Linked DNA regions of Bombyx mori. The protein of the gene in region 1 interacts with the protein of each later gene in a biochemical or structural test. Links are inferred from orthologs where the notes say so. Each region holds a gene or a part of one and is shown in the gene's direction. Other genes may lie near its edges.

Evidence for each region.
Region 2: the proteins of DNA replication licensing factor Mcm3 (region 1) and kelch-like ECH-associated protein 1B form a complex in vitro, tested with the Homo sapiens proteins (2 studies listed by BioGRID, with this or other methods). The link is inferred for Bombyx mori from reciprocal best matches to the Homo sapiens genes MCM3 and KEAP1.

What each region holds. Positions count from the first base shown.
Region 1 is NC_085112.1:2,197,731-2,213,850, forward strand, and holds the start of DNA replication licensing factor Mcm3, read left to right. Parts: upstream 1-6,718; 5' UTR 6,719-7,040; coding exon 7,041-7,112; intron 7,113-7,451; coding exon 7,452-7,729; intron 7,730-8,283; coding exon 8,284-8,458; intron 8,459-9,118; coding exon 9,119-9,357; intron 9,358-9,910; coding exon 9,911-10,150; intron 10,151-11,052; coding exon 11,053-11,217; intron 11,218-12,351; coding exon 12,352-12,550; intron 12,551-13,010; coding exon 13,011-13,159; intron 13,160-14,411; coding exon 14,412-14,502; intron 14,503-14,868; coding exon 14,869-15,084; intron 15,085-16,081; coding exon 16,082-16,120. UniProt on the Homo sapiens protein: Acts as a component of the MCM2-7 complex (MCM complex) which is the replicative helicase essential for 'once per cell cycle' DNA replication initiation and elongation in eukaryotic cells.
Region 2 is NC_085128.1:13,249,254-13,264,633, reverse strand, and holds the end of kelch-like ECH-associated protein 1B, read left to right. Parts: intron 1-1,394; coding exon 1,395-1,556; intron 1,557-2,094; coding exon 2,095-2,286; intron 2,287-5,851; coding exon 5,852-5,983; intron 5,984-7,082; coding exon 7,083-7,162; intron 7,163-8,083; coding exon 8,084-8,289; intron 8,290-9,640; coding exon 9,641-9,817; intron 9,818-10,918; coding exon 10,919-11,232; 3' UTR 11,233-12,718; downstream 12,719-15,380. Other genes in the region: uncharacterized protein LOC101738570, read right to left, coding at 14,234-15,380. UniProt on the Homo sapiens protein: Substrate-specific adapter of a BCR (BTB-CUL3-RBX1) E3 ubiquitin ligase complex that regulates the response to oxidative stress by targeting NFE2L2/NRF2 for ubiquitination.

The sequences.
Region 1 (16,120 bases):
ACTCAATTTAAGGCCCATAAAGCCAAATTAGCAGCTCAGTCCCGCGCACCGCTCGCCGCCGCCGCGAATATCCCAGACTCGCCGATGTCGCCCCCCACCCCCGCGCCCGCGTCGATAGCGTCCTGCGCGGCATCGAGCTCCGGCTCCGACTCCGAGTCGGAGATGGAGTTCGAGTCGGCCGCCAGCCCCGAACCCGGAACCTCCGATGGGTTCCAAACCGTCACGCGCGGGAAAAAACGCGCCCGCGCCGTGGAACCGTCCGCGGCGCCGAAACAACCCAAGGCCGCGAACGCGTCGCGGCCAAAAGTCGTGGTCTCTCCCGACTCCCCTCGCCGCGCAACCCCGTCGCCGCGACCCCAACCCGCGTCCGTCCGCAAAATTCCCGCGCCGCCGCCGGTCATCTTGCGGGAAAAGTCGTCGTGGAACCGGGTATCCCAGGCCCTTACGGCCAACAAAATTAATTACTCCCAAGCGCGTAATCTCGCGCACGGGATACAAATTAAAGTCGCAACGCCGGGCGACCATAGGGCCCTCACTTCTTACCTCCGAAAGGAGAGCATAGGCTACCACACCTATGCACTCCAGGAGGACCGCGAGCTCCGCGTAGTAATACGCGGAGTACCTAAAGAGCTCGACGTCGAGCTAATCAAAGAAGATTTAATTAGGCAAACGTACCCGATTATAAGTGTGCACCGTATGCACAGCGGGCGCGATAAATTCGCATACAACATGGTTCTCGTCGCGCTGGAACCAACCGCCGAAGGCAAACGAATTGCCTCAAGCCTCCGCACCGTTTGCGGCTTATCCGGGGTCACCGTCGAGGCCCCATATAAAAAAGGCACTCCCGGGCAGTGCCACCGCTGTCAGTTATACGGCCACTCCGCGCGCAACTGCCACGCGCGCCCGCGGTGCGTAAAGTGCCTCGGCGACCACGCGACAGCCGACTGTTCGCGGGTCAAAGAGACAGCGACTGAACCACCGAGCTGTGTGCTCTGCCAGAAGCAGGGCCACACAGCCAACTACCGCGGATGCCCCAAGGCCCCGCGGAAGCGTCTGGCCAACGCGCCTCCAAAAACCGTCGGCCCTAAGACTTCGGCGCCCCGCGCGCCGAAACCTGCCTTCGTGCCGGCACCGGTGCCCACCGTCTCCGCGTGGGCAAAACCGCTGCCGCTCACGTTGGCAGGAAAGCCACCGGCACCCCAGCCCCTGCTCGCGCCGCGCCCCGCCCCCGCGCCCGGTCCCGCGCCTCGCCCCGGCCCCGCGCGGCCTGTCGTTAACGAATTCTCAATCGTGCGCGATTATATCGCCGCGATAAATATCGACCGCATGCGTGCGTTCGCCTACGCCATGCGCAGAGCGGTCACGGCCGAAGACCGCCTAAACGCGACGTTCGAGTACATCGACGTCATCGAGTCCGTCCAGCGCACGCTGGTTTGATTACCGGTAATCAATGGCGTGCAACGGTAGGGAAAAACCGCGTTCCATAAAGTTAGCATTTTATAATGCTAACGGACTCGCGCGTCAGCGCGATCAAGTATATGAGTTTCTCCGCGATAATCTCATCGACATCCTTCTGGTGCAGGAGACCTTCCTAAAGCCCTCGCGTCGCGACCCCAAAGTCGCGAATTACGTCATGGTTAGGAATGACAGACTCTCCGCCCGCAAGGGCGGGACTGTCATTTACTATAGGAGGGCCCTGCACTGCGTCCCTCTCGATACTCCCTCGCTCTTACATATCGAGGCGTCAGTGTGCCGCATCGCGCTGACGGGACACCAGCCGATCGTCATCGCATCCGTTTATCTCCCCCCTGACAAACCCCTCCTGAGCAGTGACCTCGAGACACTGTTCGGTATGGGGGACGCGGTCATCCTGGCAGGCGATTTAAATTGCCACCACACTAGGTGGAACTGCCATCGCACAAATGTGAACGGTAGGCGTCTCGACGCGTTCATAGACGACTTCACATTCGAAATATTCAACCCCCCGACCCCCACGTACTATCCGTACAACGCCGCGCGTCGTCCGAGCACAATAGATCTGGCACTGCTGAGGAACGTAACTCTGCGCTTACGCTCCATCGAGGCAATGTCAGAACTCGACTCAGACCACCGACCTGTCGTCATGCAGCTCGGTCGCCCACTCAACCGCGAACCAGATACGAGGACCATGGTGGATTGGAAGAAGCTGGGCACGTGCTTAGCTGACACCGCTCCACCAATCCTCCCTTGCGGCCCGGATTCAACTCCATCCCCCGAGGATACCGTCGAATCCATAAACATCTTCACTGATCACGTCTCGACGGCGATCATAAGATCTTCGAAACAAGTCGATGTGGAGGACTGCTTCCACCGCATCAGACTTTCCCCCGATCTTAGGGACCTCGTTAGAATCAGAAACGCGGCAATCCGGGCCTACGATCGATATCCCACGGATTCAAACCGGACTCGGATGCGTCGCTTACAGCGGGAGGTCAAATCCCGCTTAAGCGACGCCCGAAACGAAAACTGGGATAGTTATTTAGAAGAACTCGCGCCCACTCACCAAGCATACTGGCAACTAGCTAGGACCCTCAAGTCCGAAACTATAGCCACTATGCCGCCTCTCGTACGCCCCTCAGGCCAATCACCGGCTTACGATGACGATGACAAGGCAGAGTTGCTGGCCGATGCACTGCAAGAGCAGTGCACCACCAGCACTCAACACGCGGACCCCGAACACACCGAGTTCGTCGACAGGGAGGTCGAGCGCAGAGCTTCCCTGCCGCCCTCGGACGCGTTACCCCCCATTACCACTTCCGAGGTCAAGGAGGCGATCGATAGCCTACAACCACGGAAAGCTCCCGGCTCCGACGGCATCCGCAACCGCGCGCTTAAACTGTTACCAGCCCAACTGATAACGATGTTGGCCACCATATTAAATGCTGCTATGACGAACTGCATCTTTCCCGCGGCGTGGAAAGAAGCGGACGTTATCGGCATACACAAGCCGGGCAAACCGAAGAACGAAACCGCGAGTTACCGCCCCATCAGTCTCCTCCCGGCGATAGGCAAACTTTACGAACGGCTCCTTCGTAAACGCCTCTGGGACTTCGTATCCGCGAATAAAATTCTTATAGACGAGCAGTTTGGATTCCGCGCCAGACACTCGTGCGTCCATCAAGTGCACCGCCTCACGGAGCACATCTTACTAGGGCTGAACAGGCGGAAACCCATTCCGACAGGAGCCCTCTTCTTCGATATAGCGAAGGCGTTCGATAAAGTCTGGCACAACGGTTTGATATACAAACTGTATAACATGGGAGTGCCAGACAGGCTCGTGCTCATCATACGAGACTACTTGTCGAACCGTTCGTTCCGATATCGAGTCGAGGGAACGCGTTCCCGGCCCCGTCACGTCACAGCCGGAGTCCCGCAAGGCTCCGCCCTCTCCCCGTTACTATTCAGTTTGTATATCAACGATATACCCCGGTCTCCGGAGACCCATCTGGCGCTCTTCGCCGATGACACCGCCATCTACTACTCGTGTAGGAAGAAGGCGTTGCTTCATCGACGACTTCAGACCGCAGCTACCACCATGGGACAGTGGTTCCGGAAGTGGCGCATCGACATTAACCCCACGAAAAGCACAGCGGTGCTCTTCAAAAGGGGTCGCCCTCCGAACACCACGCTGAGCATCCCTCTCCCGACTAGGCGCGTCAATAACCCCGCCCCCGCCGTTCGCCCAATCACGATGTACGACCAGCCCATACCGTGGGCCCCGAAGGTCAAATATTTAGGCGTCACCCTCGACAGTAGGATGACATTCCGCCCCCACATCAAGACGGTACGCGATCGTGCCGCCTTCATCCTAGGACGTCTCTACCCGATGATATGTAGGCGAAGTAAAATGTCCCTTAGAAATAAGGTGACACTCTACAAAACTTGCATACGCCCCGTCATGACCTATGCAAGTGTAGTGTTCGCTCACGCGGCCCGCATACACTTAAAATCCTTTCAAATTATTCAATCCCGTTTTTGCAGGATAGCCGTCGGAGCCCCGTGGTTCGTCAGGAACGTCGACCTCCATGACGACCTGGACTTAGAGTCCATCAGTAAGTATCTACAGTCGGCGTCCATGCGCCACTTCGATAAAGCGGCACGACACGAGAACCCTCTCATCGTGGCCGCCGGTAACTACATTCCCGATCCTGCGGACAGAATGGAAAGCAGTCGACGTCGCCCTAAACACGTCATCTCGGATCCTCCTGATCCACTAACGGTGCTTTTAGGTACTTCAAGCACCGGTCACCGTTCTCGTCGAACCCGTCGCTTGCGACGAAGGGCTCGACGAGTAAATTAACTCTCAGACACAGCCCACTGAGTTTCTCGCCGGATCTTCTCAGTGGGTCGCGTTTCCGATCCGGTGGTAGATTCTGCGAAGCACGACTCTTGCTAGGGTTCGTGTTAGCAACATCGTCAGGTTTGAGCCCCGTGAGCTCACCTACTAAAGTTAAGGCTACGCTGAAATAGCCGCTAGGGCTATCAGCTTAGGTAGGAAAAAAAAAAAAATATTTGAAGATACAAAGAAATGCATAACTTCTTCACAACCATTAATTGCATTTGACGAGAAACGTCCCCTTTATTTAGCATGTGACGCTTCCGACAAGGGATTGGGTGCAGTATTATTCCACAAGGACTCGAACATAGAACAACCAATTGCTTTTGCTTCAAGGAAACTACGACCAGCGGAAATGAAATATTCCGTTATTGATCGTGAAGCTTTAGCAATAGTATTTGGTATAAAAAAATTTGATCAGTACTTGAGAGGAACGAAATTTAATCTAGTTACGGACCATAAGCCTCTTATACATATTATGGGTGCACACCGCAACCTTCCTAAACTAGCCAATAACCGATTGGTAAGATGGGCCCTAGTAGTGGGAAGTTATCAATATGACATTTACTACAGGAAAGGTGAAAATAACACATTAGCTGATTGCCTTTCCAGATTACCAAACCCTGAAACTGAACCCTCCGAGACAGAAGGGCTTGTACATAAAATAGATCTACGTCTTTTGAGCACTCGAATGACTGACCTTAATCTATCAGAACAGTTACTTATGAAAACAACTTCAAAGGATCATATACTCACAAAAGTTTGTCAAAATTTAAAAACCGGCTGGAGAGAATCAGATTACAATCCAGAAATGAAACCATTCTACAGAAACCGGACTGAATTATCTGTTGAGAATAAGATACTTGTGAGGCAAGGACGCATCGTTATACCTACAGCACTCCGAAAAGCCATTCTTACATACCTTCATCGAGGACATCCTGGCATTTCTGCTATGAAAGCACTTTCACGTTACTATGTTTGGTGGCCTAACCTTGACGAAGACATAGAATTATTTGTCAAGAAATGTACCAGATGCCAACAGAACCGCCCTTGTAATCCTGAACTTCCTGTATTTTCCTGGTCCATACCAGAAGAAGTATGGGAGAGAATCCATATCGACTTTGCTGGACCGTTCGAAGGATCGTATTGGTTGGTATTGTGCGACGCTCTCTCCAAATGGGTGGAAATACGACCGATGAAACACATCAACACCAGATCACTTTGTCTTACATTAGATAACATATTTTGTACATTTGGCTTACCAAAAATGATTATATCCGATAATGGACCTCAATTTACATCTTATGAATTTAAAGAATATTGCACAAAACAATCTATTTTACATGTCACATCATCTCCATATCATCCTCGGACAAATGGGCTGGCACAACGTTTAGTCAGAACATTCAAAAATAGAATGGCATCGGTAGACAACACAAATCTCGAGCGCCGACTATTAGAATTTTTGTTTACATACAGAAACACTCCGCACTCGTCCACTGGTAAATCTCCAGCTGAGATGATGTTTGGACGACAATTGAACTGCATACTTTCCAACATTCGGCCAGACAAAAGAAGATTAATGCAGTATTTACAAGTAAAAGAAAACATTCGTACCACATCACCGAGTTACCGACCAAGTGACCAAGTATATATTAAAACACGCAATGATAAAATATGGGAACCAGCGGTAATTACATCCCGAAAACATAAATATTCATATATTGTTTCAACACCAGGAGGACTAGAAAAACGAAGACACGCTGATCACATCAGGCCACGCGAGTCCTCCACCTCAGAAACCCCGAGGAATGAAAGGGCGCATTCTTCTATGCTGCCGGCGACTGCTTCTCCAGACATTGGAATGGAAACAACAATTAACGAAAGGCTAACTAAAAACAAGAATTCAGCAGCAGTACCATTACCTACACCGCAGTCACCTACAAATGTACAAATTTCTCCAAATTCACCTTCACAGCATTCGAAGTTATACTCCTCACCTGCTCCGGTCTCCACTCCTGTGCCATTTGCTGCGCGTCGAAGTAATCGACGTATACAGGCACCCCGCCGTCTGATCAACGAGATGTAGATGGGGAGGAATGTTGTAACCTTCTTTTCCATATTCCATTATTTGAAATATACTTCGAACACATTGTCATTTTTACCATCTATCATTATTATATTTTTATGCTATGTCTTGAAAACATTGTTTTATTATATCGACTTTTATACCTTTTCGATACTTGGAATTTTATATCGATCGATATATATTGAAGTATTAAATAAAGCTCAAAAATAACTATAATTTAAAAAATTTATATCGATATATCGATGTATCGATATTTTTTCAACAAGCCTAGTTCGCATTGGCTATTTGCGAGAAATCGCGCCAACTGCTGAAATTTTTTAGATTTAACTTTTTGTGATAGTTATAATTTAGATAAGATTTTATTTGTGTAATTGTTAAAGTTTTCTATTAAAGTTTGAAATAAACCATAATATTCTAACGCTATTCATAGCAGTGATCGTGAGAAATATTGGACTCTACAACTCTCATCTCAATCAAAATAAATTCAACAATACGCAACGACTTTTTGATTTTGGTTAACTTTAAGTGTTAAAACAACTGAAACAAAATATAACAATTTTTAAAGCTAAGTTCAATATGGAGGAAGGTGATTTCGATCAACGTTTGAGAGACTTACAAAGGGAGTACCTCGAATTTCTTGACGATGGTGTGAGTTAATTATTTTTTGATATTAGGTATTGAAGTAAATGAAAGCTTTAAATTTTTTTCTGGTTACAATAAGTTTTAATATCTGAAATAAAATAATGAAGTATTTCAACCTCCTGTCCCATTAAAAATGGAGGCACTCATCTTTATAGATATGATTTTAAATAATCATAAGTGAAGTGCTTTGAAATTATAGAAGAAACTGATTTATTCTATTTTTTTCCGTTTCTTGTTTTATATTTTTTGTGGATTTCAATATTGCTAAGTTATCATAATCAATTTACGACACGTTGACAGCTTCTCTGTAATTTGTTAATATATAAATTAATTTTAAATGTCCAGGAAGATCAAGAAATTTATATGGAAAAAGTGAAACAGATGATAGAAGATAAATCAAAGCGCCTCTTAGTCAGCATCAATGACTTAAGGCGTAAAAGTCCTGAACGTGCCAAGAATTTACTAGAGAATGCCTTTGAAGAACAGATAGCATTCCAAAAGGCTTTAAAAGAATATGTGTCTTCGATAGACCCTACATATGCTAAAATTCAAGAGGAGTTTTTTGTGGCATTCTCAGGAAGTTTTGGTAACAAACATGTTACACCCCGAAGTTTGACATCTAGGTGGGTTATTACTTATAAACATGCTTATTAAAGTTCTACTGCTGAATTATGTCATTTTAATTTTAAGATGTGCTATAATTAACGAGCTTGTAAGGTTAAAACTAAGTTTGTTTTATGATATGTGATGGGTTCACCTAAAATTTATTTTTGTTTGTTTTCTGTGTGCAAAATTAATCTGTTTGAATATATATAAAAGTACTAGATTCAATGAAAAAAATATTTCATAATTATATAGTTTTAAGATTCAGTGCATACTATACATGTGGAGATGGAACAAGAAATTTACTGCTGAATACTACTGAAAATTTACAATCTTCCATAAATATTTGAGCTGTAAGCGTTTTTTTTATGATCATATACAAAAACAGAGGTCTAAAGTAGCTGAATAAGCTCAAACGTACAAAATGAGTCTAGATTTATTTACAAAAAATTGCATAAAAGAAAGATTCAGGATAAGTTACAATGTATTGTGCTTTAGATATTAGTCAGATTAGAATTGATTGAGAATATTATTTGTTTTTCTCACACTTATCTAATTGTTGTAATATTTCCAGGTACCTCGGAAATCTAATCTGTGTGGAAGGCATAGTGACTAGAGTATCATTGGTTCGTCCTAAGGTGGTCAGAAGTGTACATTATTGTCCAGTTACCAAAAAAGTGATGGAAAGGAAATATACCGATCTAACTTCATTTGAAGCATTTCCCACCTCTGCTGTATACCCTACTAAGGTCCATAGTTTAGTCATTAATTAAAATTAGAATAGAATAACAAGAAATTGTTAGTGAAATATAAAGATCTCATTAGACTACCTTCTAAAAAAACCTTCTACTCTGTGCTGAAGTAGTAGACTACTTCAGCACAATGTGGTATTTTCTCTGTATTTTGCCAGTTGTCGTAGACAGCTACTACACATTTGTTATTTATTTTGCTACTTCGACTACTTATTTTCACGACACATTATGATCAGAATCTGTGAACTAAACTTATTTTAAATGTTTTCAAAATAGGTAAAGATAAGCATAATTTTAACTGATTCTTTTGCTATATTGGATGACATAATAAGTTACTAATTTTAAAGTTATCTTACGATTTATAGATACATTAGCACTTCTATAATTGTAGTCAAAAAAATTTAACTTTTTATATCTTAAATGGGTGGACAAACTCACAGCCCACCTGGATTTAACCTGGAGCCCATAGACATCAACAAAATATCATCACCTACCTTGAGCCATGAGCTCTAAATCTCAGTTTAATAGTAGAATAGCTGTGTGGTCCGGTCCACCTTTCAAACTGTGTCATAGTAAAAATAGACAGGTTGGTGATATTTTGCCATTTGTGTCTGAAGTTTATGAGTAACATTTATAGTGTAACTCGTATGTTCATAGGATGATGAAGGCAATCCTCTAGAAACTGAATATGGACTTTCGCGGTACAAAGATCATCAGACCCTTACCGTTCAAGAGATGCCCGAACGGGCACCAGCTGGGCAACTGCCAAGAAGTGTAGATATTATATGTGATGATGATCTAGTAGACAAATGTAAACCAGGAGACCGGGTGCAGATTGTAGGGAACTATAGATGCCTGCCCAATAAGCAGGGAAGCTTTACTGCTGGAACATTCAGGTATGAAGAGAAGTTACCTTTTGATATACATTTTTTTTATTGCCTTTGTAGGCAGACGAGCATACGGCCCACCTGATGGTGAGTGGTTACCGTCGCCCATGGACTTCAGCAATGCCAGGGGCAGAGCCAAGCCGCTACCTTCCGCTATGAAATATACATTTGAAAAGGATCATTATAAGAATTTAATTAGGTTTTGTTTCTTTTGAATTGTCATCAATATGTGTCTGGTGCTGTACATTTTAAAGGACCACTCCAGTATATAGTGCTCAAAGTCCTTTACACACAAAGGTACCGACAGTGTGGGTATTCAAGAAAGTATTTGTTCTTCTTTTAATAAAAAGGATTGCTATTGACACTGAACCATCTTGGGTAACCAGCATGTTTTCTTAAATTTATAATTCACTAAACAAAATAATAAAACAATAGTACCTTCATTTAAAACCATTATTATATACTTATTCCTGAATATTACATACTGAATTCATATTTTACATTTGTCTATTTACCCCAGTCCATAGAGGATTCAATTTAAAGTAATGTTATATTTTTTCAGAACAATCCTTATAGCTAACAATATAACACAAATCAACAAGAATATGAACATGTCAATAAACAGGGAAGATGTTAAGATCTGTAAAAGACTCGCAAAGAGAAAGAATGTTGATATGTTTGAACTTATGAGCAAATCTTTAGCTCCGTCAATCCATGGTCATGATTATATCAAGAAAGCTATTTTGTGCTTATTGCTTGGAGGCATGGAGAAGGTACTGCCAAATGGTACAAGATTGCGAGGGTGAGTATGTATTGGTGGGTTTGAATACAAAAGGATGAATTTGTTTGCTTGTGACCTATATGTTTGCATGTTTTTAAATCAGAATGAGTTGCAATTGTGATCAGCCATTGGCAGTTCAGAGAAGGTTTTAGTCATAGGACTATTAAAGTATGGTAGTTCTGTATTAATTACTTCATAAATGAGTATTAGTAGTTAGCATTTTTGTAAAGGAGAAACCTCGATTTCACTAGTTAATTCTTACTTACGGGAGAATGTTGCAAAGTATAACGAGGACTTTGTTATACTTCGAAGTGTTACTGCCATTTTGTTACTTTATCACTACTTTGTCTATTTGTTTGGACAATTAATAAAATAACAAATTCAATAGATGAAAATGCAATCCCTATTGTTCCTTCCTCTTAAAATAATCTTAAATCATCGTAATAAAAAAATCTTAAATAATCACATAAAACTGATTAATCACCTTAAAGAGTACGAGAAGAAAGCTTGGAAAAGTAGGATCATGGGTGACATTATGAATTAAATAGTAAAATGCAGTTTCCTTAAAGATCGGATTCTACATGTACTTTGGGAAGAGATCCCCAAATTACAAAATGAAACCGTACCTTGTCTTATTTTGTATTTTGCAAGCTTGTTGGATACGCCATTGTTTTTGATTGCGTTCTGCGTGGTACATTCCACTTGGAGGTCGGTTTCGTGTGCCTTCTTATATTTAATTTGTAGTTATACCGACAAAAAGAAGATCTTGTTGTTTGGATCTTGTATATATGCGAGCTTATCTTGAGAATGTCGCAAGCCAGATTTACGCATCTGTCAAATATCTTGTGTTGTATGATGGCTACCGCCACAAATTAAAAGCTGTCATTTAGTACTAAAACATTACGGTTGTTTTTCGTTTACAGAGACATCAACGTTCTGCTAATCGGCGACCCATCAGTGGCGAAGTCCCAGCTGCTCCGCTACGTGGTGCAGACCGCGCCGCGCGCCATCACCACCACCGGCCGCGGCTCGTCCGGCGTCGGGCTCACGGCTGCCGTCACCACGGACCCGGAGACAGGCGACCGGAGGTGGGCACAGACACATAACGATACTATATTTTTAAGTCGTCGTGGCCTAAAGGATAAGACGTCCGGTGCATTCGTGTTGAGCGATGCACCGGTGTTCGAATCCCGCAGGCGGGTACCAATTTTTCTAATGAAATACGTATTCAACAAATTTAATGTTTCAGTAATGCGTTTCGATTTGAAGGGTGTGGCAGCCGTTGTAACTATATTAAGACCTTAGAATTTATATCTCAAGATGGGTGACACATTTACGAAGCATGTTCTCATGTGTTCGGTTGTTGGAACGTTAAGACCTCCCTCCTCGCATCGTTTTCTTTATTACTGAGGGTCGTGACTTCCCCGCTGCATCCGCTTCTCCCGTACGATTTCCCTCCATGTGCTGGGATCCTTAGCTTCATGAAGGGTATTGTGGAAGTTGATGTTTAGAGAAGATTGTATTTGGTCCGACCATCTCGTCGGACTGCGTCCTCTGGGACGTTTACCATCTACCTTTCCAGTCACCATCAACTATTTTGGATTGTGACCCTCTTAAAGGTAAGATCAATAAGTAATAGATATAAACCATTCCAGTTGTATCAGATGTGTCGTACAAAATAAATAAATCATCTATCATGTATTTAAATTATCGGTGTATTTATCAAAGATTTTTTTTAAAGGATTTTATGACCTGGTAACTAAGACCTTTAAGTCATGTCTTATTTTAATTTATATTCTTATTTTTATGAAAAATGATAATATGAAATGAAATGGAGATGATTAATTTGAGACGATAGTCAACTGGGATGAAATTAAATGAAATGAGATGAGATGATATGGGATGAAATATAATTTCAGTAAAATGGTGGTCATTTACTGAGATTTTTTCAGTGCGCTTTTTGGAGGATCCCGAGAAATTACGTCCAGCGGCTTTGTTTCATTTTCCCACATTTGTGCACTTTCACAGATACTAAACACTTAATAAACCACCGTTATTACACATTTAAACCTGAAGAAACACTAAATAGACAAAAATAAAACAAATCATACAACTTCACTCCTCGCGTTCCCGCCAAAAAGTCAAAGAGCCGGTCCCTGACACCAGATCGCTTTGTGGTCAGAATAGAGTTATCAGCGACGGAATCTCATGCTATGTTGCAGGCTGGAAGCGGGCGCGATGGTGCTGGCGGACCGCGGCGTGGTGTGCATCGACGAGTTCGACAAGATGTCGGACATCGACCGCACCGCCATCCACGAGGTCATGGAGCAGGGCCGCGTCACCATCGCCAAGGCCGGCGTGCACGCCTCGCTCAACGCGCGCTGCTCCGTGCTGGCCGCCGCCAACCCCGTGCTCGGCAGGGTATGCTGACCCCACAGACATACGGCCTCCCACTCTATGACAACGTATCGGTGGTAGCATTTATCATTAGTAGAACTAGCACGATCATAGGATTATAGGATGGTGTAAAATAAATACGAGAGAGAGAGAGAGAGATAGATAAAGAGAGATAGAGAGAGAGAGAGCATTCTTGTACACCAACAAAAAAACAATGCAAACATTAAATACAAAAAAAATAGTACAATTTTCGGTCGTATCGATAAGAAAGATCTCTTCCAGACAACTATCAGGTGGAAAAGAATCATTTGGAAACGAATTTCACGCGGTGTACCAATCTATTGATATATAACGCATATACACATAAACACACATACATACATATACATACACAAATTCCTTACATATATACATTTACGAGCTTATGTAACCCTAAAATAACAATATTTTATCGTATCGATAATTCTTCAAATTTATTTTCCAGTATGATCAGTACAAAACGCCCATGGAGAACATCGGCCTGCAAGACTCGTTGTTGTCGCGTTTCGACTTGCTATTTGTGATGCTGGACATCGCCGACGCCGACCAAGATAATATGATCTCTGAACACGTTCTTAGGATGCACAGATATAGGTCAGTATGCGTCTCCATACATACCGTTCTCTCGTGAGCAGCCGACGGTCGATACTGTTGCCCAATCATTAAAATTTGACCATAATATGAGACCTCATGATTTAGATTCATTTTGTGTATAATGCTGCATGCCCCTTGCTGTAACTTATTCAAGGAAAAATTACATGTTTTTTTATGAACTAGTGTTCCCCGCAGTAATCGAAATTCAACGATAATTATTAATTGAAATTATAAGTTTAAACATTATTATGGTTCTATTGTCAAAGACTTTAATTCTATAACCACAGATTTGGTCAAGGCTCCACTAAAGACAAATATTAATAAATATAAATAATATTAATCTATTCTCAATTTGACCACAGTCTTTAAACAATAACAAAAGTTTGACAATAAACAAGGAGTATATATATGTTGTGTATGTCGAATACATGGTAGTGTTATTTAAAATAATATTCACATTCTGCACTCCTCTATATTCTCTGTAAGTGTGCGAAATTTCATACTTCTCCATCCGCTCAATTGCTCTTTGAGAAATGATTAATTGTTTTATCTTTGCCTATTTATATGCTTAGCTTAAATGGCATTAAAACATACTTATTGATTGTTCCGAGAAGAAGTGTTGAAACAAACTCATCGTGCTCATTTTATGTTCTTTGTTCTCTTAAAAATACTTTAATCAATCAATTGTTATTATAAATACAAACAAATAATAAATTTAATGTATCTAATAACATGAAAAGCTTTAGAGCGACCATCTCATTTCCACATTATGCTACCCCTTTTTTGGTAAACCGGTGAATCCATTTAAATATTTCACGACCAGCCTTATTTTTAACTCTAACGGAGTTTATACGCATCGCAAACTGGATGCCGCTACCCATCTTGATACCCGTCTTAATTATTTCATTAAATTACAATTTTTACAAGTCTGTATTTATTACATGAGGTTATTAGTTTATATAAAAATTTTCGTGAATGTGTGTAAACTAAGAATAAGAAGAAGAAAAAATTGGTACCCCGCCTGCGGGATTCGAACACTGGATAGTCGTATCGCTCGATATGAACCGCGAGTCTTATCCTTCAGACCACGATGACTTTGTCTCTCTATAGATGGTTTTAAAATTTTCTTTTCTAAAGCAGAAGGTATTTTCTCCAAGGTTATAGTTTGTGTGCGATTGAATATTAATCTCAGAAGCACAAAGAAGCCTCATACATTTGTTTTAATACTCATTTTTTTATTATTGTTGCATAGAAATCCAAAGGAACAAGACGGAGAAGTATTACCGATGGGATCACTAGTCGAAATGCTTTCCACCGAGAACCCTGACAATGATGAAGTTGATGTATGTATTTGCAAGGTGTATAATTATTTTCAACCACGGCATTTGTTCCAATTAATTTTGAATGAAAGTGTCTGATAAAACCTGCATTATTGTATTGTTGGTTCTTACAGTGCAGGGGATCCAAGTTTAGGGCCAGATGATGCTGCATAATTACTCATGAATTATCTATCTATATGTATTATCAACCACAACACTTTCCAGTAGTTAGTTTTAATAGAAAAAAACTACTATATAGTTGCCTTGGTAAACGTTAACCCAAGCGGTTTTTCTTCCCTATACGAATTGGACAAAAATAAAACTACATAAATATATACATATATATTGTAAAACCCTGAAATAATCCATGTTCCATATTTGTCTTCCAAGGATACAGCCGAATCCATTTACGAGAAATACGATCCTCTGCTCCACGGCAACACTCGCAGCAAGAAAGATCAGATCTTTAGCACCAAGTTCATGCGGAAGTACATAGACCTGGCTCGACTCATGAAGCCGAAACTGAGTCAGGAGGCGTGTGACGTCATCGCCGATGAGTACGCCCGGCTGAGGAACCAGGACATGATGGATAGCGACATGGCAAGAGTGAGTTATTACATCCATTTTTATTTTGTTTTTATTGCATAAATAATTGCTTTGCCGGAACCTATACATACTTGAATCTCAATGTCGCTACCCACCTTGAGAAATGAGGATTAAAATCTTAAATATATAGTAAAAAGGTTGTGTCACGGTTAAACCTCAAACAGATTACTACTTTGCGACAAGTATAGAGAGAGTGGTGGTACTCACCTGTGGTGGGCCTGACGAAGCCGGAACCACCAGCTATGCAATTATGCAAATAAAAAAATTGCGAGTTTCATTTTTATTTCACGATCTTCATCATGAAATGTCATCTGAATCTGTATTAAGTACGTATTTTATAAGAAAAATGTGCACCTGCCTGTGGGGTTTGAACACCGGCACGATTGCATCGCTCGGAGCGAGTACACCGGCGTCTTATTCACAGGCCAGGAACATTTTAATTTATTAGCCTGTGTTATGTACGTATTGGATGCAAACTTATATATAAAATTCTCGTGTCACAATGTTAGTTACCATACTACTGACCGATTTCTATGAAATTTTATATGCATGTTCAGTAGGTCTGAGAATCGGCTACTGTCTATTTTTCATACCCCTAAGTGATAAGGGTTGTCCAACCCTAAAATTTTTTTTTTAATTTTTTTTTGTTATAATGTGGCATTATGTATGTGGTTGAATGAGGTTTTGTTATTTTTATATTCCCCATCGTTCACAGCGTTACACGCTTCTTTCACTCATTTACCACATTCTTACACACTTACAATAAGTTATATTTTTTTTCTACACTAGAAATTTTCTAGAAATCTTATATATGGGAAAACAACGTTTGCCGGGTCACCTAGTGGACGTATAAAATACTCCCTTTTATTCTGTGACATCTCGCAGAACTTCTAATAGAACGTATAACTTTGTTAAAAGACAAGCAGAGCATTGTTACTTCCCTTTGTGGGCCTTTAAGTATCCCTCGTGATGTGATATTCCTCTTGACTATTTGCAGACGCAACCGGTGACCGCCCGCACGCTGGAGACGCTCATC
Region 2 (15,380 bases), on another chromosome or scaffold:
CCGATATCAGCAGTTCGGCACACTAACTATTCACTAGACAATCGAGGCAATTTCATGAATTCAGGAGTTTTTTCAATCGTTCACTTTGTTACAACACTATTTTTATTTCATTAAAAACTGACAACACAGTAAACGTCACTTGACTTCGTCTAATAAAAAATCCGACTATACATGTGCGTATTTTGCAACACAAAAATAAGAGTGGGTAGTATTATTCTGGGCGATCTCTTCTGGGCGGCCATTAGGTAGAGATGAATCGACATGTTCTTCTTCAAACGAGCTTTGCGAAGAATACTTCGCAATAGGCAACGGCTTCGCTATGTCCCTGGTATTACTGACATCCATAAGAGACGGTAACTACTTACCGTCAAATGTGTCCTACGCTCGCATGCCTACAAGGGCATTAAAAGAAAGGTTCTAGGTTTCACAAAATAACCATTCTTGTAGAACTTATCGCAACGGCTATACATATTATTTAGTGATATGGCATATTGAAATTCACGAAGAAAAAGATGGAATTTCATTGTTTAACAAATAGGACTTTAATTCGGATCGAACAAGGAACTCTTTACCGTTGAAGTAAAAACGAGAAAGAGAATGAGATAAAAAGGTTTCTTCTGGAGGGTTCTCTTCTGTTTTTTTGCCACATGTAAGCGCAGTTTTATAAGTTACGCAGTTTTCGAGTCTAATTCAATTATGATATGTCATTAATTAGTCAATGATTAGACTTAGCGCAGTTTGTTACAGATTGTATGTGTATTGTTACAGATATGTATACAAATTGTCTTATCATTGTTTTCGAATAAATCTTATCTACAACGTGATGTTTCATTTTACATCAAACAAATAGTAGGTTAATTTTAATGTTAGAAGGTAATAAACAGACTGTCTCACATATCTTTACGTTATCGTGTGTAAAGTCCAAACAAAAAACGTCGTCACTTCATATTGTCAAGTTGTTTATATGTATAAGATGAATGTACGTGGGTAATACTGCGAACCGGTGCATTCGTGATAAACAACGACCACAATCATAGTCTGCTGCTACGTTATTAATTTATTTATAGCATACACATAATTGCAGCTTAACTGAAACACAATCTATATATATAAATGAAGCGGCTTGGTAGCGGTAGGCAGCGGCTTGGTAGCGGTAGGCAGCGGTAGGCAGCGGCTTGGTAGCGGTAGGCAGCGGCTTGGCAGCGGTAGGCAGCGGCTTGGTAGCGGTAGGCAGCGGCTTTCAGCGGTAGGCAGCGGCTTGGCTCTGCCCCTGGCATTGCTGAAGTCCATGGGCGACGGTAACCACTCACCATCAGGTGGGCCGTACGCCCGTATGCCTACAAAGGCAATAAAAAAAAAAAAAAAAAAAATTGATATCATCTTAAACGTTACAGGTAAAATACGATGAGGACAGAAGGCATCCCCGGATGGAGCACATCCTGCAGGCGGTCCGATGCCAGTACCTAACACCGAGCTTCCTGAAGGAGCAAATGAGCACGTGTACGGTTCTAAAGAAAGTACCTGCCTGTAGGGAATACTTAGCTAAGATATTCAAGGTGAGGACACATCACACCAATTTGAATGTATAATGTTTTTTTCTGGTAGAAACGTATTTACAATGGACTATTGTTCTGATATTTTGTCGCCAGGTGGACGTATAATTAAATTATTTTTCAATTACAAAAAACATAGACATCTACAACGTAAATGCCGCCACCCACCTTGAGATAAAGTTCTAAGGTCTCAATTAAGTTACAACGGCTGCCCCACCCTTCAAACCGAAACGCATTACTGCTTCACGGCAGAAATAGGCGGGGTGGCGGTACCCACCCGTGCGGACTCACAAGAGGTCCTACCACCAGTAAAATCAAATCAAAACAATTTGTATTCAACATAAATGAAAGTACATATTTGTTGAACGTCAAAAAGAACTACCGCCAATTCACATAAAACTAGCCTCCGTCCTGAGAAGAACTGGCAAGAAACTCAGCGTGCATGTCTTTTTTTTTTTAAATATTAGATTATCTTTTTAAATATTCATTTTTCCAATGAGTATGATAAAACTAACAATAAATTTTATTATTATTTCAACAGGATCTGACATTACACAAGAACCCGGTCGTGAAAGAACGCAGACCGAACACGCCCCGCATTATATACGTGGCTGGCGGGTACTTCAGGCACTCGATAGACACGTTCGAGTCGTTCAACCTAGACGACAACTGCTGGACGACTCTGCCGCGACTGACCGTGCCCAGGTCGGGACTCGGAGCGGCGTTTTTAAAGGTAATACAGTGAAAGAGTATTTTACTATTATTATTATTTCACTATATAGTTTTTTTTTATTCCTTAGATGGGTGGACGAGCTCACAGCCCACCTAGAGTTACGTGGTTACTGGAGACCATAGACATCTACAACGTAAATGCGCCACCCAACTTGAGATATAAGTTCTAAGCTCTCAAGTATAGTTATAACGGCTGCCCCACCCTTCAAACCGAAACGGTAGAAATAGGCGGGGGGTGGTACCTACGCGCGCGGACTCACAAGATGTCCTACCACCAGTTATTACGCAAATTATAATTTTGCAGGTTTGATTCTTATTACACGATTTGTTATTTCTTCACCGTGGAAGTCAATCGTGAACATTCACTGTCAACAACAATCCAACTGTCATTCACGTCAAGAGTATCTGGAGGCAGACTCAGATAACTTTTACAAGAGGGTCGTAAGGGGACGTGTTCTGGCGACATCTCTGCTAGATAGTCAAAACCTTAATTCATTCTTTCATTAATAAGTTTGGTGATTCTATATACATATATATAATTCATCACAACACTAAATTCACAACATTATTTGCTGTCATTATTATATCGATGTATTTACGTGTATGTAATAATTGCAACGAAATTCAAAAATTCATTGTTGTGATTATTGCACAAAACTACGTCCTTTCCTTGGTCTCTACATTAGAGAGTCGTTGAACATTAACGTCAGAGTGTGGAAAGATTTATTTTGAAGATAAAAATAGGCGTAATTTCCACAACTCATTCATTTACTGTATGGAAAATATAAGAATCATCGTGTGACGATAACGTTGGGTTGTCATACAAGATAATATTATTATTATGTTATTGAACGATTGCCCTAGACGCGAGAATGCCGACTAATAATGCGACTGCAAAACCTTTACACATGTTCGATGGGTTGATCTTTGATTTATGGTTCCGCCAAAAGGACAAATCATTTTCGATCACGTAACTAAGACGTGTTGTCCACGTGAATCAAAAAGAAATTGATAGAGTAAATATATTATAGATTTTTGAAAATGATTTTCTCAATCTTCTCGATACTTATCACGCAATGAAATTAAGAATGAAGCTAGTGTTTCTTAATATAGAATAATAAAAAATATTTGAGTAAGATCGGTGCCGCTATAGTCATGCAATTAAATATTAAGATTTTCAAGAACAACAATATATTTTTGTACGGGCCAGCGCGCACATCATATTGCATACCGATGCATTTTACATCAATTATTTCAGTAAGATCGGTGCTGTTATAGTCAAGCAATTAACAACAGAGGGTTGTTTGGACAAACCGTACAATTTTGAATTTTCATATATTTATACGCCTGTATTAGTTTGAAACGTTTGTATGTAACTGAATTTTTGAACATTATTCTCACTTGCTTCAATGCGTCCCATTAACTTTAAAATTTATAGATTCATCAAAACAAGGACCAATGACAGTTCAATAATTTTATAAATTCGCTCTTATGTCAGCAGTATCAACAGATTAAAAAAGACAAAATTAAGTATAAATTCGGTTTATTATTCAAGTGTTTGTTTTTTTACTTTTTAATATATTAACCACTTCTACCATCCAGTAACCACTTAACACCAGGTGGGCTGTGAGCTCGTCCACTCAACTAAGCAATAAAAAAAATGTATTATTTATTTTTATTTGTGTCATTCCAAGAACTTTCTTGGCTGGTTCCGGTGTCACACACACACACACACACACACACACACACTCCGACCGTTATTAAATGAACTATAAAAAAAAAACTCGCAGAAACTGCAGCATACAATTCTGGGTGTCTCTATCAAATGTTATTTAATAAATAATGCATTGAATTCTATTTCCAAATTCGAAAAAAAAATGTTTCCTTATAACACACATACCAAACTTAATAACATATTATAAGTCAAAAATTGTGTTTTTACTTGAAACTGGCATAAAATTAAAACTATTTCCATAAAGAAAAAAAAAGGATTGTGTCTTATAAGGACTTTAATGAACTAGAATTAAAATGTAACCTTTATGATGTTTTCCAACATTGTATTCTGTTGAAGTCTTGCCTGATCGGACGTCATTAATCTAATCTAAATATTATCATACATAACTTTTTTACCGTTTAAGCATGAGATCGTGAGAAATATTAATAAAGTACTCAAATATTTGAACAAGATAGTATAAAAGCGCTAATGCACAATGTATGTTATTGACAAAATTGATTTAAATAAAAATGTAGATAAAAATACTTATTTATTTTTTTATTTTTTTATTTATTTTTTTATTTTTTTATGTACACACAGAAAACAAGACACAGTACAGAGTAATAGGAAAATTATGTACAAAGGCACTGCTTATTTCTTTGAGAAATCTTTTCCAGCAGACCTGCGAGAGGATAATGAGAATAATAATAAAAAGTGATAAGTGTGTGTAGAACAAATAACACATAACTAAAATAACAAATACAACATGAGAATTATAGCACATACACATAGCAAATATTATAAGTAACACAGTAACACTCGTATATGCGAAGAGTATAGAACCATGATCATTCGGTTGATGAGAGATAAAATTGTTTGACTTAATGGTATTTCGAATGACGAATTTTATGTAAAACGTACAAAATGAATTTTACGTTAGACAGCGGCTTGGCTCTGCCCCTGGCATTGCTGACGTCCATGAGCGACGGTAACCACTCACCATCAGGTGGGCCGTATGCTCGTCTGCCTATACGGCAATAAGAAAAAAAAAAGTATGGGAAATTCGTGCCGTAATAGTTTTGAAATGCGTTAACGGTTACCAAGAAAGCAGTTAAGTACATCTAATGGTATCGGCGGGAGAAAGGATGTTTGGTATAAGCGACGTTTTTGCGAATTTACAGGAGAGCCATTTAATGTTTAAAATTTGGAAAAAAATATCAAAACACTTCTTCAGATATTTGTATGGACTAAACTTAATTGAAATTCAATTAAAAACATTGGATTTGTTGATGATAATACCAAATAAAACGTATCTTTAACGATTATAGAGAAGTCGTCGTGGCCTAAAGGATAAGACGTCCGGTGCATTTGTGTTGAGCGATGCACCAGTGTTCGAATCTCAGGCGGGTACTAATTTTTCTAATGAAACACGTACTCAACAAATGTTCACGATTGACTTCCACAGTGAAGGAATAACATCGTGTAATAAAAATCAAACCCGCAAAAATTATAATTTGCGTAATTACTGGTGGTAGGACCTCTTACGAGTCCGCGCGGGTAGGTACCACCACCCTGCCTATTTCTGCCGTGAAGCAGTAATGCGTTTCGGTTTGAAGGGTGGGGCAGTCGTTGGAACATACTTGAGACCTTAGAACTTATATCTCAAGGTGGGTGGCGCATTAACGTTGTAGATACTTACTAATACACTTAACACCAGGTGAGCTGTGAGCTCGTCCATCCATCTAAGCAATAAAAATAAAATATTACACAGTGAAATGTCGCGTATTGAGGCGAAATGTGGCTTAAATCTTTAAATAGCTTTTCACCCCTCGATATGAAATATTTATTTCAGGGTTTATTCTATGCGGTCGGTGGTCGGAATACGTCACCGGGCTCGTCCTACGACAGCGACTGGGTCGACGTGTATAACCCCGCCACGGAACACTGGCGACCTTGTAGTCCTATGTCAACGCCGCGTCATAGGGTATGTATACAAATGTCGTCTTCTCGCATTAAAACTGTATAATCTCAAAACTTACTAATTTTACAGGAGATTGTTTTAAAAGTTTAACATGTGATATGTTATTATATTACAATATTAATCATCTTTGCAACATTTGTTTTTTATTTTTTTTATCTGTCTTTTAAAGGAAGATAAAATTATGTATTAATTTTATTAATAGTATGTAGTCAAAATATAGGTAAACTAAAAAAAAAACTATAACTAAACTACGCTCTTTTGACAGTATTTATGAGAAAAATACTGGTGATACCAAAGGATTCCGCATATTAACTCAATTTGGAATATTTTTTGAAATTGTACACTCTTAATGCGAAAAGACGATGTGGTGCTTTCCCAATATATTTATTTCTGGTTGTCTAAGGGGCTATTCTAGCTTCTCGCGGACGGGCTTTCCCAATCTTTACATTTACATTTAGCGTGCTTAGTGCGACATAGACACAGCCCACTGAGTTTCTCGCCGGATCTTTTCCGTGGGTCGCGTTTCTGATCCGGTGGTAGATTCTGCGAAGCACCGCTCTTGTTAGGGCCAGTGTTAGCAACACTCCCGATTTGAGCCCCGTGAGCTCACGTACACGCTAGGGTGAAGCTGAATTAGCCTCTCAAGGCTATCAGCATAGGTAAAAGAACAAACAAAAGTTCGAATTTTTTTAGCTTCTCAATCCCTATGTTTGCCGCTAGGGGCGTTGTTCCAACTCCATACAAATTTGAGTTGACTTTACGCGATTGAGAAATTAAAAAACTCGCGCTAAGCACACAGCATGTGGGTCTCTGACAGGTATATTAAATAGTTGAGAGTGCCCAACAATACTGGTCACGCTTGAGGCCACTCATTGTGGGCGTGGCTGGGTAGAAATATCATGTTCTGTACCAGTGGTGGATTGCCGAATGCCTCACCAGCAGTTTAAGTTAATTCAATAAATTACTCTATTCCACAATAATTAGTCAGTGCAACCACGACCGTTCTGATAAGAGTGTCCGACTAACAAAACAATATGATTTAATGATACCCACATAGAACAATATAGTACGAAGTATTGAATGTTTTCAATTATATTTGCAGGTCGGTGTGGCAGTAATGGACGGTCTCTTGTACGCCGTAGGAGGTTCGGCCGGATCAGAATATCACAGGACTGTTGAATGGTAACTCAAGGCTTTTTTAAATTCAATACATAGTTTCATTTAAATGTAGTCGTATTTCCGCGCGTTCTAAACAGACCTTCCACATGTCCACGGCTCGAACGAAATATGCTTCGAACTCTTTTGTCCGTAGATCTTGTAGGTTGTATGATACTAAGTTCTCTAGTGCTGACATCTTTTACTTGTCACTTGTAGCATATAGAAAAGCTATTTTGGAATATTTATAAGGTGATTTATACCGATGAGTATTATAGTTTTATAGTGTGAGTTGTACATAATAATATGTGCGTATTGTGTTGCTTTTGTTTTTTGTAACTTAAATTTCTAAATTTCTCTTCTCTGTTCACTATCTACTTATATGTGATGTGATAATGGAAACATGTTTGGTTATTGTTTTAGCTATTTTTTTAAATATTATATGTTTGTATGATCATATTGTTCGTTTGTAATCTCACATACCCGATCCTGTAGACCAATTGGTAAACAGTCGACGTCGCCCTAAACACGTCATTAACGGTGCTTTTAGGCACAACAAGCACCGGCCACCGCCCTCGTCGAACCCGTCGCTTGCGACGAAGGGCTCGACGAGCAAATTAACCCATAGACACAGCCCACTGAGTTTCTCGCCGGATCTTCTCAGTGGGTCGCGTTTTAGATCCGGTGGTAGATTCTGCGAAGCACTGCTCTTGCTAGGGTCAGTGTTAGCAACACTCCGGTTTGAGCCCCGTGAGCTCACCTACACACGTTAGGGTGAAGCTGAAATAGCCTCTCAAGGCTATCAGCACAGGTAAGAAAAAAAGAAAAAAAGCAGAATCTAGCACCGGATCGGAAACGCGACCCACTCAAAAGATCCGGCGAGAAACTCCTTGGGCTAATGAGTTCTAAGGTCTTAGTATAGTTACATATAGAATGTATTGGTTGCAGTTACGAGCCCGAGCGCGACCTGTGGAGCAGCGTGGCGGCCATGAGCACGGCGCGGCTGGGTGTGGGCGTGGCCGTCGTCAACCGGCTGCTGTACGCGGCGGGGGGGTTCGACGGCGCGCGCCGCGTGGCCTCCGTCGAGTGCTACCACCCCGAGAACAACCGCTGGACCGAGGTCGCGCCCATGCACGTCGCGCGCAGCGGAGCAGGTCCTTACTGTTGTCTATACCATTAATGCGTCTACCCCAAATAAATTGTCCCTTCGTAATTAGGTGACACTCTACAAAACTTGCATACGTTTCGTCATGACTTACACAAGTGTAAAGTTCGCTCACGCGTCTCGTATTTACATTAACTCTCTCCAAGTCATCTAATCCCATTTTCACAGAATAGGCCTCGGAGCACCGTGGTACGTGATCTAAATTTAGAACCGATATGTTAGTACCTAAAGGTAGCATCAGAGCCCTACTTCGATAAAGCGGCGCGACACAATAACACCCTTATGGTGGTAGCCGCTAATTACATATCCGACCCAGGCGACGGGGCAACGCAAAGCCGCCGTCGCCAGAAACATGTCTTGTCGGATTCACTCTCAGTGCCTTTAGGCCCTTCAAGCACCAGTCGCCGTCCTCGTCGATTACGACAATGAGTTTGACGAGCGAATTAACACATAGACACAGCCCACTGTGTTTCTCGCGGGTTCTTCTCAACGGGTTGCGATTCCGATCCGATGGTAGATCCAGCGAAGCACTACTCTTGCTCAGGCTGGTGTTAGAAAATTCTCTCAGGTTGAACCCGTGAGCTCATCTCCTCCCATTGATTTGTCAATAGACCTTCTGAAGTTTAATTCATGTTTGTAAGCTTCTACGCAGCCTACAAACAGGTTCATGGTCGTATAGAGACCTTTTCGCGCCGACCCAAGGCAATTTCGAACTATCGGAAACTGTTGTTTCCATGTCTATTTAGACATAATAAAGAAGAGCTTGCTCGCTTGTCAATGATAACACTGATACTTTACGACTTTGCGTGTTTGCTTCTCTAAAAACTTGTAAATTTATATACGATTTATAATGGATTTGTAGTTTTTTTTTGCTTAGTTTTTGAGTTTCGGTCTATAAGCTATGATACCGATATAGTCCTAATTCAGTCGTATGCACATAAAATAATTTTGGTCCAATTTTTGTTTACAGACACTTTATTGTAATTTTTTAAATCAAATCAAATAAAAAAAAAATTTATTCAACATAAATGAAAGTACATAGTTGTTGGACGTCAAAAAGAACTACCGTCAATTCACAAAAACTAGCCTCCGTCCTGAGAAGAACTGGCAAGAAACTCAGCGGGCATGTCTTTTTTTTAAATAGTAAATTATTATTTTAAATATTCATTTTTACAATGAGTATTATAACGTAACAATTATTGCAATATTGAAATGCCCGGAGCGAGCAACTCATTCTCACTTTCCAAGTTCCAAGACCTCTGATTGAAATTAGAGTGTTTTAAACGATTCAACTAATCTATGTTGATGATAATGAAATGTAACGCTTAATTTCGTTACAGGCGTGGCAGCAATGAATCAGTTCATATACGTGGTGGGAGGCTACGATGGCTCCCAGCAGCTGGCCTCCGTGGAACGTTACCATACTGAGAAAAATACCTGGGAACTTGTCGCCCCGGTGCAGATAGCGCGCTCCGCACTCTCGCTCACCGTGCTGGATAACAAACTGTATGCTTTAGGTGAGATTGTTTTTTTTTTTGTTATTGCTAGATGGACAAGCTCACAGCCCATCTGGTGTTAAGTGGTTACTGGAGCCCATAGACATCTACGACGTAAATGCAACACAACACCCATGTTAAGATATCAGTTCTAAGGTCTTGAAGTATAGTTACAACGGCTGCCCCACCCTTCAAACCAAAACGCATTACTGCTTCACGGCAGAAATAGGCAGTGACGCCGCGTGCAGTCCGCGCTGTAATCACTAGAGGGCGGTGAGGAGCCCATCTGCAGTTATATCTACAGTAAAAGCGCTTTATTCGCGGGGCACATGGTCCGTAAAAATGCCGCGAATACAGAAACCGTGAATATATTAATATCATATACTGGTGGTAGGACCTCTTGTAAATCCGTGCGAGTAGGTTGCCTCTTTCTGCCGTGAAGCAGTAATGCCGGTTTGAAGGGTGGGGCAGCCGTTGTAACTATACTGAGACCTTAGAACTTATATTTCAAGGTGGGTGGCGCATTTACGTTATAGAAGTCTATGGGCTCCAGTAACCATCTTAACACCAGGTGGGCTGTGAGCTGGTCCACCCATCAAAGCAATAAATAAAATAAAATATAAATTTAACAACATACCTACTAGACATAGTTGTAATAAGATCTATTTTACTTTTTTATTAGTCCACTTTTATAAAGAATTTTCGGTTGGATACCTATACCTATATTGGAATCCTTTTTATCAATGAACCGATTTACCGATAAGATCCGCGAATAAAGAAATGTCTCACCGCGAACATAGGGATTGGGTAGCATTTTTTTTTAATTGCTTAGAAGAGTGGACTAGCTCACAGCCCACCTGGTGTAAGTAGTTACTGTAGCCCATAGACATCTACAATGTTAATGCGCCACCCACCTTGAGATACAAGTTCTAAGGTTTCAATATAATTACAACGGCTGCCCCACCCTTCAAACCGAAACGCATTACTGCTTCACGGCAGTAATAGGCACAGGGTGGTGGTACCTACCCGTGCGGACACACAAGAGGTCCTAGCACCAGTAAAACCAGCATTTTTTTTAACCACCACCTCACTAACAACTATTATCGATTTTGTCACGTTCAGGTGGTTACGACGGCACGTCGTTCCTGGATATAGTGGAGGTGTACGACCCGGCCACGAACAGCTGGTGCAACGGCACGCCGCTGACGTCAGTGCGGTCGGGCCACGCGTCCGCCGTGTGCTACCAGCACGTGGCGCCGCTGTCCGACCACTGCGACCTCGCCGCCGCCGCCACCGTGCTCAGGAAGATAGGCAAACGGACCGCCTCCACCGCAGTCCTCACTCAGCCGTCGTCCTCCAGAAACGACGACATCCCGATGGCCAACAACATCATTCGGACTTTATCGAACACTAGGAGCTTCGAGAACGGCCTGTAGTGACTAGTGCTGTGATGTGATACTCGATATAAATCGGGACCGTCCTTGTATATAAGTCAGTGAGATTTGTGATTTTGTTTCTCGTAGCCATACGTAACGTATCGATTGCTGATTGTTTTGGTGACAGTACTAAGGAATGACGGCCAATAGCATATTCCACCGTATAGTTGATATGACAATGTTACGCTGTCGTAACTTTTGACGTTCTGACGAAAGAAATGGATCGTTATAATTTTGACTACAACAGTTTTACTATGTACAAAACAATTGTACTTATTGTTTGACTAAAAATGTTCTTCCTTGAACTTAATGTTATTGTTGTTAAGAACTGTATAGGTTTAACGTTAATTAGCTTTTCATGCATTCATAGAGAAACCTGTTAGGAAGTGTAAATACAGTAGAGCTGTTATGCGCTTTTATGTTGGCGGCCTCAAAGCCTGGACTCCCAAGACGCATATTCATTCACTAGCGCATAAAATTCTTACAATAAACATTTTTATATTTCTTTTTCAAAGAAAAATGATAGCATATATTTTTATTCCAATATAAACCAATATTTATTTATTTTTCTGTGTTAATTGAATTAAAAAAACTGCAAATAGGAACTGACGTGTTGTACTTGATTGAACCTTAATGACTGTTCTTATTTAATTCATTTTGTGTGAGGTATATCTATGTATACTTAGATTCTATAGAAAGGAATCTATTCCGAAAACAAAAGACGAAATGCGATAATTACAATATAACATTAACATAATCGTAAGCGTAAAATTATATTACACAGCTTACAATATATTAGTAAAAATCGGCTGACACGCGAGGTCAACGAACCGTGACCGCCGGCTGCCTTAAATGTTTTGTCGTGGATTAACGAAATATGAACTTACCTTCAAGCAGTAGAACATTGTTTTCGGCTTTTGTTAATGTCCCTGTACATATTTACTTATTTCAAATTTAAATGTAGATACTAGAATGTGTTGATTTTATTATTAAACTATTTGACATCACAGCTGAATCTAATTATAAATTTGAGGTCGTCAAGACAACTAAAGAACAAAACTTTGTGTAGTATGTTCTAAATGAACTGAAAAGTTATAAATTAGGTACTTAATTATTTGTTAAAACAATTGATTCTGATAATTTGTATTATTCTGTCGTCTAAGGGAACAGTACCATAATTAACTACCTACATAGACCGCGCCTTACTGACGTAAATGTGTTCTTATGCATTTTTATTTCAAGCTCGCTTTTTACACTAGTACAATATTCTGTACATTCCTTTGGACGGTAGTATTGAAGTAATGACATATAAAATGTGATATATTTTATTTGTTTTGTATGTATTTTCTACTAAAAATTTTAATGTTTTGAAAATTAAATGATGTTTTCATTACATATTTAATTAAGCCAACTATAAATATTTAATCATGTAAATAATATCATAGTTTTATTTGTAAGGAAAAATAAAGACTGTTAAGGGAAGTTATTTTAATGATTTTTTTATCTTTTCATTGGCGTAGATAGGCCGTGGACACTGGACAGGATTTACCGCTCATCTAGTCTAGGTCAACCCATAGACACTACAGCGTGAATACTACTTTTTTTTCCTACCTAAGCTGATAGCCTTGAGAGGATATTTCAGCGTAACCTTAACTAGTAGGTGAGCTCACAGGGCTCAAACCGGAGTGATGCTGATACTGACCCTAGCAGTAGCAGTGCTTCGCAGAATCTACCACCGGATCGGGAACGCGACCCACTGAGAAGATCCGGCGAGAAACTCAGTGGGCTGTGTCTATGGGTTAGTTCGCTCGTCGAGCCTTTTGTCGCAGGCGACGGGTTCGACGATGACGGTGACCGGTGCTTGTGGTACCTAAAAGTACCGTTAATCGATCGGGAGGATCCATAATGACGTGGATACTACTGCCTAATGTTAAAAAATATGCAACAAGGAATTATTGTGATCCTGCTATATTTAAAACTATTTTTACTGTTTATTCTCGCCTTTGTTATTTTCATGTAAATATTTCCGTCGTTTCGGACACCTTGCAGTTTTCGTGGTCACAAACGGCCGATCCATCTGCTATCGAATGTAGTTTTTGGAAGCCATTGGATTTCAACCTTCGGCTTTGGAATGCAGTCTTTACGCTACTCGCCTCCACGATGTTCTCAAAGCACGTAGTGAGATAAACCTTCACAACTCAACACACTTCATAAAGTTCTCAGTAGTAGGCTACAGCTTTCGGTATCCTTGCAATACTGATATCCGAACGACGGTATCCACATAATATTAAGTGGGATAAAAACTGCCTACTTCTAAAGACGGAGAATGTGAGTTAGTGGGCTCTCTACAATCGGAACACATGACTCATGTTTTCGGTAGAATCAGGAAAAGGTGGTATCACTAATAGTATAGTAAACTTAAAAAATATACTAGAGCTCTACTACTAGCTGCCAGTAATTTGTCACTCCGTCTTGTTTCTATGTAGTCTAAACATTACTACTAAACTTACTAGAGCAAATAAACTACACTATATTCAGTTTTTTGCAAAACTGAATGAACTGCACTATATTCAGTTTTTTGCAAAAAACTGAATATAGTGTAGTTTATTTGCAACACAAAAGTGTTCCACTCTTATAGTGATTAAAGTAGTTGTTACATTTCAGAATGGTTTCATCCATTTTGGTTTGTATAAAAGATTGCATTTAAAAAAATGTTAAATTGTATAAATTATCTAACAAGACTTAGTATAAAAAAAAACTTTGACATATATATTCCCTTCGTCGTGCTTCTTTATTGCAACTTAATTTTATAACAATATGTTTCTAGTTCAATATTTATACACAAATAAATACCTTCTTTACCCACATAAACAGAAAGTTCATAGTTTATGTACATATAATAGATTTTGTCACATAATTACAAGTTCTTAAATGATACATAACAATGAGTATTGTTGAACACTTTCGAAATTTTAAAGTTCATGATTTAGTGATAAAATGTTTATTTTTTTATGATTTTTCTTTTCCTTTTAAGAAATATCCTAACGTCAGGTACGTCCTTTTGGGAAACCGTTTCACTGCCTGAAGTTTCCAAAACTGTTGCAGCATTCATACTTTCTGAATTGTTGCTATTTACACTGTTCTCAGTTACTATTGGAGCGGGGTCTGACAAAGTTTGTGCTGATTTGTATGGAGTTGACGTAGCAAGAGCGTTCAGTAGTGTTCCTGAATTTTTTTCTACAACCGTCCCTTGATTATTCGTTGGAAATGGTTCTATACTCTCAAGTACATCAGTTAAAACTATGGGCTGTACGCCTGTCGATATGATTACAGTCTTAACTACATCCGACTCATTTTCTGTCGGATGTAGATTAATATTTTCATTGCTATCACAAGTTTCTGTAGTTGGCATTGCAATCAAATTAGCAATGGCTTTTTCAGGTTCATTATTCATAATTTCAATTTTATTGAATTCCATAGTCTCGGTGGTCATTTTATTGAGCCCTTCTATACTTACTTCATTTAAATTTTCTACTGCTATTTTATTTGCTTCTTGTAACTCAATACCGTCGGTGGCGTCTTCAAAAATCGGCACGTAGTTAGTTGAATTCTGTACTTGAGTTTTGTTGGTTATTAATCCTAAATCTTCAGGTGTTATCAAACTGGTACTGTCACCAAATAAATCATGAAATTTTGTTTTAATTTGTTTAGGTTTAGCCTTGCTTTTACATTTGGTCTTCTCGGTGTTGTGAACTTCACTATTATTATATGTTTCATTACCATCTTTCTGTTTTTTCTTTTTCGGTTTTTCTTTTTTCGTGATATTTGATAACACTTCAACCTTTTCTTTTGCAGTTACGTTTTTATCTTCTCTTTCTTCCAGTTTTTCTCCAACAAAATCTATAGTCGCATTCAAATCTGTGCCAGGTTTTTCTGCAACAAGCTTTTCGGAACTTTGTACATTTTCAATAATAGAATCTGCTTGATAATCTTTTTTGTCATGTAATGATACTTTTTGGTCTTCCATATTATCACAAGTTTCGTCACTTAATTCTAAATCACCTTCCACAATCCCAATTACAGTGGTCTGGTTAAATGATTTACTTGTATTCATAAAGCCACACGTAAACTCCAATTCATTAAAAGAA